Linked DNA regions of Caenorhabditis elegans. The protein of the gene in region 2 interacts with the protein of the main gene of each other region in a pairwise test. Each region holds a gene or a part of one and is shown on either strand. Other genes may lie near its edges.

Region 1 (4,614 bases), on a different chromosome or scaffold from region 2:
GTATGTTGCACAGTACGCATTCTCAAAATTTTATGTTACCGTAATAAACATTCTAGAACCGTTTTGGAATTTTCGCGTTGTAAAAATCTGGAAATTCTGCTATAGGAAAACGCCTTCCTGCCTGCCTGGCTTGAATTAGGGCTTGTGAATTCCCCTCCAAAATGCAGAAAAGAGGCGGCGGGAGGTAGGCAGCAGGTTTCAGGCAGGCCCTGAAACCTGCCTACTGTCTACCAGAGCCACTGATGTCTCGTTTTGAAGACGATTTGGTAGCAATTCTGTGTAATTTTTTTAAAAGTTTTACGATTTTTAAGTATAAACTGTAAAATTAACCAAAATTTCAACCAAATTCGCTCAACCGTAAAGTTTGAGTCCACCGATAAAATTCGCCACAATCACGTGGTGTCATGGTGTCTCATTTCGGCTTGATCTACAAAAAATGCGGGAGAAGAGGCGCCACGTTCTCAACAGATTTCGTATGGTTAAGAACGTGTTGACGTCACATATTTTTGGGCAAAAAATTCCCGCATTTTTGGTAGATCAAACCGTAATGGGATAGCCTGTACAATTTTGACCTTGTTTATCGCAACTTGTTGCTCGAAACTATGCTCATATACAATAATTTTCGTGTTTATGTGTGTGCCTATGTTCACAGCTGTTTTCACCTCCGCTCTGCGTCTGCGTCTCTCCGTTTTCTCTCACATACACACACAGTCTTCATTGGGTCCTAGCTGGCTGGTTCGAAAGGGCGGAGCCTCTATCTCGCCGGTTTCCGTGTCTGCGGCAGCAGTCTGTTTCAATGAGGAGTGCGCGTTGGCCCGAAGAAGACAATTAGAATTCGATTTCTGTGTCTTCTTACTACTCGAAGTGTGTTCGTTTTTTGATTGGAATATCATATGCCTCTGGCTAATTGCTTTTTTTGCCGGTTTTGTTTCATTCAGTTAGTGTTGTTATCCGTTCCTGTGATTAAAGAAATTCGTTCCTAATTCCTGTTCCACGTGGACTCAAAGTGTCTCATCATTGCGCTTTGATCTACAAAAAGTGCGGGAATTTCCCCCCATTGAAAGTGTGACGTCAGCACACTCTTAACCATGCGAAATCAGTTGAAAAGTCTGCGTCTTTTCTCCCGCATTTTTCGAAGATCAAACCAAAATGGGACACTTTGACGCCACGATTTTTCTTGCTCCTCTGTACTTTTTTTGTCACTCAAAAGCACGTTCTTAACCATGCGAATTCAGTTTAGAACTCTGCCGCATTTTTTGTAGATCTACGTAGATCAAACCAAAATGAGGCACTCTGACGCCACGTGGGGTCAGAGTGTCCCATTTCGGCTTGATCTACGTAGATCTACAAAAAAATGCGGCAAAGTTCTCAACTGATTTCGCATTGTTGATAACCTTGCTGACGTCACATTTTTTGGGCAAAAAATTCATTCCCGCATTTTTTGGTAGATCAAACCGTAATGGGACACGCCTCGCTTTGAAGTCATATAACAGTTTTTCCCCCCTGCTCTTCAATACTTTTCAAGCTTGAATCGACCTCATTTTTCAGTTTTCCATTAATTTTCCAGGTTCTTTCACCCGCCCTTCTAGCACACGATCCTGTACTATGACTAACTTCTCTTCCCTTCTCACCACCATCTTCCTCTGCATCATCAGCTCCGCGACCGGCTCCGGAACCATCGAGCTGCTCATCTCATCCCCACAAACCGTGCTCGTCGAGCCGACGGTGTGCGCGAATTTCGAATGCGCGGCACCCGATGATCTATCGTTGGCGCGAAAAGTTCAACGAAGAGTTCCTCTCCGCTTCGGCACCGGACAATATCACGGAGAAGCCCGCGAACGCATTGATCTTCACCTCAAAATTATCGAACCAACGAGTAATGGTAGGTTTCAAAGGAAAAAGAGCCCACACTTCCTCTTGCTCTCCTTGTGTTGTTTGATGGTGACCCGTGGTGATAAGATAGTGTGACAAGTGTTATCAGATGGACTGCTAGTGGTCTTTGCAACGGTTGTTACCGGCCCGGGGCCGGGCCGGCCTTTACGGAAAATTTTAAATCTATTTTTCAGGAAAAATCGGAAAAAAATGTTCAAAAAAAATTGGAAACCATATAAATTTATTCCAGAATGAAGAAAAATGACTGAAATTTTGAGCAGTTTTTCAAAAAATCAACAAAAAAATTGTTTCGAAAAATTTGAAAATTTTAATTTTTAGTTTTTAAAAAATCGAAAAAAATTTTTTTGACCAAAAACAACATTTCTTGTTTCAAATTTGGACCAAAAATACAAAAATCAGATTTCTCCGAAAAAAAAACCCTAAAAAAAAAGAAATTTTAGATTTTTTGATCATACCAATTGAAACATAACAATTTGGTCCAAAAAACGATAAAAAACCAAAAAATTAATTTTTTTTGTTTAAAAAAAAAAATAAAAATTCCATTTTTGCAAAAAAAAAAAACCAAAAATTCCATTTTTGCCAAAAAAGAACAAAAACCCATTTTTGCCAGAAGAAAACCAAAAAAAATCCATTTTTGTCCATAAAAATACCAAAAAACCCCCTAAAAATGCATTTTTTGCCAAAAAAAAAAACCGAGAAATCAATATTTTACCAAAAAACCAAAGAATTCATTTTTTGCAAAAAAAAAAACCAAAAAAAAAATCCATTTTTGCCAAAACAAAAACGAAAAAAAATCAATTTTCTTTGTCCATAAAAAAACCAAAAAAAAACCAAAAAAAAATCCATTTTTGCCAAAACAAAACAAAGAAATTATTTTTGGCAAAAAAACACCAAAAATTCCATTTTTGCAAAAAACAAAACCCCAAAAAAAAAGCATTCTTGCCGGAAATCCCAAAAAAGAAACCAAAAAAATCCATTTTTGCCAAAAAAAAAAACCGAAAATTCCATATTTGCAAAAAAAAAAAATTTTTTGTCCATTAAAAAAACAAAAAAAACCATTTTTTGCCAAAAAAAAACCGAGAAATCAATTTTTGCAAAAAAAAAAACAAAAAAAAAATTTTTTTTTGCCAAAACATAATCGAAAAAAAAATTTATTTTTGCCAGAAAAAACCAAAAAAAAAAAAAAAAAAAACGGCAGCCCTGCTTCAGAAAAGTCAAAATTACGAGAAACACTCAAAAATCTGAGAATGCGTATTGCACAACATATTTGACGCGCAAAATATCTCGTAGCGAAAACTACAGTATCCCCCCTTTAAATTACTACTGTAGCGCCGCTGGTGTCGATTTACGGGCTTAATTTTGATATCCGATCAAAAATCGGGCTCGTAAATCGACACAAGCGCTACAGTAGTCATTAACAGGATTACTGTAGTTTTCGGTACGACGAGATATTTTGCGCGCGTCAAATATGTTGTGCAGTACGCATTCTCAAAATTTTATGTTACCGTAATAAACATTCTAGAACCGTTTTAAAATTTTCGCGTTGTAAAAATCTGGAAATTCTTCTTTTTCCAGAAATTCTCGCCCTCCAACACCACCGTCCTGCCGCCGATACGGAATGGAACTCCGACGCTCCGATCGTCATCGAGACCTCTCGTGGCTTCAACGTGACGGTTCAACTGCGGAATTTGTGCAGCTCGTGAGCATTTTTTTTTCGGAAAAAAAATTCCGAAAAGTAGCCAAAAATTCCAGAAACTACCACGGAAAACGCTGCAATCGATATTGTATCGCGAATGCGAAGCTTCACTGGGAGTGCTCAACACACGGAGTCCGCCGATGCTCCGCCGGATGGTCTGGTGAAGATTGTTCAAATCGTGGGTGATGGAATTCTGCGTATTGGGCAGCATATTTGACGCGCAGCAAAATATCTCAAAACTACAGTAATTGACTACTGTAGCGCTGGGGTCGATTTACGGGCAAAAAAATGGAGCCCGTAAATCGACACAAGCTTTTTATCTGAGAAGAATTCTGCGTATTGCACAACATATTTGACGCGCAAAATATATATTGAAAACTACAGTAATCCTTTAAATGACAACTGTAGTGTCGATTTACGGGCTCCTCAAAACGAGCCCGTAAATCGACACTACAGTAGCTATTTAAAGAATTACTGTAGTTTTCGCTACGAGATATTTGCGCGTCAATTCTCCAACTAGTTTCGATCCATTAACCCCCCCCCCCCCCCCCTAGCTTCCGCCGCCGCCGCCGCCGCCGCTTTTTCACACATACACATCTGGTCAATTGACAAGTTGGGTGGGGTGATGATTATTTGGCGGCACTCTCAGAGATCAAAAGAATTGTGCGCGAAATAGGAGGCGTGTCGCGGCGGCGACGACGACGTTTCGATTGAAAAATGATTGAACGGTTTTATTTTTGGGAATTTCCTGTGAAAATTGCCATTTTATGCTTTTTGGGGGGTTTTTCGCGATTTTTTTCCGATTTTCATTTTATGGAAAAATTGCGCCTGTCGAATAAAATTATAATAATTTTCAAATTGGGCCTAATTTTTCAATACTTTGAACCAGGGGCGGGCGGCTAAATGCCGGTATACCGATTTGCCGGAAATTGCCGATTTGCCCGAAGTTTTCATTTTCGACAATTTGTCGATTTGCCGGAAATTTTCAATTCCGGCAATTTGCCGATTTCCTCGAAATATTGAAT
Region 2 (4,726 bases):
CATTTTTATCTTCTCTAGCGTATTTTTGCGCCGTATTTTTTTTCTGATGCAAAGTCCCCAGATAATACCATAAGTAGAACGCGATCCGAGAAGCTAGCCACAGGGGTGATTTTTTTTCGTTGCTAATTTTTTTTTGCTTTTCAAAATTGTTGTTTTCCGTAAGTACAATTTTAGCATTTTTTTTAGGAACGACAAAAAATCGTCAGATCAATTTGTAATTTGAAATTTGAATCCAAATAATCTCTTGGTTTTAAAAATTTAGCATTTCAACAAATATCAACACAAAAACTAAGTTTAATTATTCAATGTTTATCAACTGAATTTTTATTAAATTGAAAAAAAAGTTGTTTTTAAAAGTTGTTTTTTAAAAATTTATTTCATCATGTTACCGTGAATTGAAAATTTGAACTTTTCAGTTATTTGAGAAGATTCCCTATTTTGAAAATGTTGGCAACATATTTTTGAGCGTAAAATGTTCACAATGAACTGTAATTTTTTGATTAATCAAAAATATATATCAGAATCAATTTTAAGGTTTGTGACCTCCAACATTTCCAAAAAACATAACTGATAGCATAACAAGTAAGTTCAAAAACTTTGCGTCTCTTGAGTATTATTGGGAGGTAGTTTGAAATTCCCCAACTATCTTTGAAACATTTGAGAATTTCACTTTTTAAAATTATGTAATTGATTCACTTGTTGGTATTTTTCCATGAAATTCCGACAGTTTGCCATTTCCAAATGCGCGGTCATTTGTCAACTGTGCTCCGCCTTGGCCTTCATTTCTACTCAATTTTCTCAGCAAAGTTTGTCCCGTCTAAACGGAACTACTAAACTTTTTTGCTTTTGCCGTTTTTATTTCGGAAATTTTTATTTGAATTTTCATCCAAATATTTTCTAAAAACGTATTTCGATATCGGTAACCCCAGCAAATCTCATTTTTCCGCATAACAGGACAAACACACTGTCCTTTTCGCTTCACTTTTTTGCTATCCCCTTCTTTTTTCCGTGTGCGTGCCGGGTGAAACTAGTCTCATCATTTGAAAATTGTCTGTATAATATCCGACCTACTACACATAAAATATATAGATGTTGGAGATGTTGACAGCCGGAAATTGTTTGGAACTAATTAGCTGCTGAGGGTTTTTTGCTGTAATTCAAGTGGACCCAGCACTTTTTGAGTATTTTGAATTTGTACTTACGCATAATTAAGCTTGTTCATTCTTATTTCTTTTAAATAAAAAAACTCCTGAAATCACAATAAAACAATATTGTCGCTTGTTATGGGATAAAACCCCATATTTCAGCTAATTTTATTAACACATACAAGTACATTAGGAACTAGATGATAATAAAAAAAAGTAGGAAATATTTTATCAGACGACAATTAAAAGTAAAATCAAAAGCATGAGCTGCCAAACTGAAACGAGCACAAAAAAAATGTCGAAATTGTACAAATACTCTCGAAAACCTTTTTTTTTAACTAAACGCTGAATTTCTATGTTTTCACTTTTTATAAACGTTTGAAAATTTTGTATATCTTCAATCACTCGGTCAACTGAAACTTTCCCTACTATTTCCAAATTACCGTCGAAATGCCACAGGGCAGCTAGCTGACCCCTGGCAACCACGAGATTCCCCCCCCCCCCCCCTTCATCTCTCTTGCCCGTGTTTCCTCTTCCGTTCTAATTACCTGCTTATTATCCGACAATACACCTGGCTCTCTAGGACCTTCTCTTTCTCTCTCGCGTCACTCCGGCAGCTAGCGTGTGCGGTACAGAAGAACAATCGTCAAGCGGCAAACTACCTTTTTTACCTCCAAACACAAAACAATTCGACTAGCTGCCGTCATTACTCCTATTTGGGATCTGCATTCAATGATCTACCACTCATGAAATATCAACATTTTCTCATATTTTGTACCCTGGTTACAAATGGTAAGTCTACTACTAAGATATGATGTCATTCGGTTTCACAGACTGATTGATCTGAGTGTGAAAAGTTTTGGTTTAGACTAGATGAGAGATAGAAATGTATAACACGAAGTTTAAGTGAACATCTCAAAAACTGAAAATCTAATTTAAATTCAAAATATGTTTGAGAAAGTTGATTTTGGGCTTTTAAGTGTTGAGCATTGTTGTATCTGAAAACTCTCAATTTTTGCAGCCCATCTCTTCTTTGATTTTGTAATCGTTTATATATTTTCAACTAAAATTGTAAACAAATAACTATTAACATATTTGTCGGTTAACAATTATTTCAGAAGCCCAGACCTTTTCAATAAAACACATGACTTCTTTCTCTGAAAATTAAATGAAGCTCGTATATTTCATACCAAAAAACAAAATAAATTTCTAAATTTTGTTTTCCAAAGATCAGTTCCAATCTAAAACTTGGACAAAACTACCAACTGACTTTTTGCAAAAAGTAATCCATCATTATCATTAAGACAGATGAATACCACAAGCTGTCACTAAAACTCTTTTCAGCACTATGTAACAGAGCGTGCAGTCGGAACACATGTCTTAACGGCGGAACTTGCACAGTGAACGATGAGACGCGAATGTTTCAGTGTGAATGTCCGAAGGGTTTCAGTGGGTTGCTATGTCAGGACAACTGCTCTTTGCACTGTCTCCACGGTAACTGCGTGAAAGGAACGTTTGGCGAAGAAACTTGCCAGTGCTCCGAAGGATGGATGGGCTCACTTTGTGATAATCTAGTTACTGATGATGACACTGCTCAAAAGTGCTCACCGCAATGTGGCGATGACGAAAGGTATACATGACCTTGTGCAAACCAAAAACATGTATGTTTTTTATAGATGCACAAAAGGAGCCGACGGATCATACATTTGCCAGAGCAACGAGCCGTCTTGCGCAACACACACTTGTCAGAATAACGGCACTTGTGTTGCCGAGAACGTGAGTGACTTGAGTCCAGAGTGATAAAAACCAATAGAATGTTCAGGGAAATGTAAAATGTGCCTGCCCACCTGGATTTGTTGGAGATCACTGTGAAACTGACGAGGACGAGTGCAAAGAAAATTTTTGTCAGAATGGAGCAGATTGTGAAAATTTGAAAGGAAGTTATGAATGCAAATGTTTAAAAGGATTTTCTGGTGAGTTTTGGTTTGAAAATTTGGATGGGAAGGATGAAATATAGTTTTCCAGTAGACATAATTGTGAAAAAAAAACCTGAAGTTTGAAAAACGTTTAGTTAGATTTTTTCAATAAGACTAGTGTGAATTTGATCAAAAATCATTTATAAGGTGCTAAATGACCAAATGTCATAAAAAATTTTCTAAACAATTCGGGGATTTTTTATCTCGAGTCAAAAATCGCATACATGTTTTTGCCACGTTTCGACAAATCTGAAGCATTGTCATGTTGATCCCTTTTGGCTCGAAATAAAATCATTTCTTCAGGTTGTTCAAAAAGTTTTATTATGATATTTGGACAAATACCCAGTTTTTTTGCAATACTTATAGTTTTCAACTTTCTTATTATTTTCTCAATTTTGTTAACGTTGCTGATTTGTTGAGAGTTTACATTCGAATAAATTATTTTATAAAAACAAAAGAAAACTAAGAAGAAACATGTTTTCACAATTTCTTCTAGGTAAATACTGTGAAATCCAAGACAAGAAACAATGCACTTCTGATTATTGTCACAACAATGGTCAATGCATTTCGACTGGCTCCGATCTCTCCTGCAAGTGCTCTCCCGGGTTTGATGGTGCATTCTGCGAGCTCAAAGCAGAGGTAACACCAATTTTCTCACTGTTAATTGCTTGTGTTTTTTCTCAGGTTAACGAGTGTATATGTGAAAACCCGGCTCATGTTTGTTCACTCGTAAACGGGACGTCAAGGACAACGCAATGCGAGTGTCCTTCGGGGTTTATGGTACGTTTGACGAATAATCTGGGCATGTTCGGATATGGGTCCCTCGCGCAATCTATCGTTTAATTGCAGGGTGCCGACTGTAAAGAGTTGCAAGCTCGTCCATGCGATCGTGAGCCGTGTCTTAATGGGGGTCACTGCGTCGACGACGGGCAGAATCTCTTCACCTGCTTTTGCCTTCCCTCTTTTACCGGCATCTATTGTGGAGAGCCTGTTGATTGTCTGGTTAATGGATCGGATTGTAAGAATGGGGGAAAGTGTGTGTTCGCGTTAGCCGCAACTACCTGCCAGTGTCCGGAAGGATTCAATGGGTCCAATTGTGAAATAAGTAATTCATATCGGTCACATCCAACATGCAGTGACATTCGATGTTTGAATGGTGGAAGCTGTAAACTCGACGCAGAAGGGGAACCGTTTTGTGTATGTGAAGAAGGGTTTGATGGACCGTTCTGTGAGCCAAAATCTGGATGCACAATTAATCCCTGTCAAAATGGAGGAACTTGCCAAGATGCAGGTAATAAGAAAAAGAATAGAGTTTTTTAGGGAGCTGTAAATTAATTTTTGTGCTGATACTGATACTCTTTAAAGTTTTACAATTTTTCAGATGGACAATACTTCTGTCATTGCACATCAGGCTTTGGTGGCGTCCACTGCGAAACGGTGGATGAGCCTTCAACCCCTATTCCCACATTAGGAACGTTTCCATCTTTTACAACTTCTGGAATCGACGGATTCTCTCAGAGTGTGAGTGTTTTAGTTTTTTATTCAAAATTCGTTCATAATAAATACTTGCAATATTAAAATTTTTCAGAAAATATCTTGCGAAGA

The links. The genes of interacting proteins can lie anywhere in the genome.
Region 1: the proteins of crb-1 (region 2) and apx-1 interact in a two-hybrid assay, tested with the Caenorhabditis elegans proteins (one large-scale study listed by BioGRID).

Annotation. Positions count from the first base shown.
Region 1 is NC_003283.11:3,208,624-3,213,237, forward strand, and holds the start of apx-1 (Anterior pharynx in excess protein 1), read left to right. Parts: upstream 1-1,565; 5' UTR 1,566-1,605; coding exon 1,606-1,882; intron 1,883-3,056; exon of another isoform or gene 3,057-3,468; coding exon 3,469-3,592; intron 3,593-3,645; coding exon 3,646-3,767; intron 3,768-4,614. UniProt on the Caenorhabditis elegans protein: Probable ligand for lin-12/Notch and glp-1/Notch receptors and involved in the mediation of Notch signaling. Involved in the lin-12/Notch pathway signaling of cell fate in vulval precursor cells (VPCs), acting redundantly with dsl-1 and lag-2.
Region 2 is NC_003284.9:17,411,015-17,415,740, reverse strand, and holds the start of crb-1 (uncharacterized protein), read left to right. Parts: upstream 1-1,726; 5' UTR 1,727-1,891; coding exon 1,892-1,937; exon of another isoform or gene 1,938-2,049; intron 2,050-2,489; coding exon 2,490-2,775; intron 2,776-2,821; coding exon 2,822-2,921; intron 2,922-2,967; coding exon 2,968-3,118; intron 3,119-3,617; coding exon 3,618-3,760; intron 3,761-3,805; coding exon 3,806-3,901; intron 3,902-3,970; coding exon 3,971-4,412; intron 4,413-4,502; coding exon 4,503-4,642; intron 4,643-4,709; coding exon 4,710-4,726.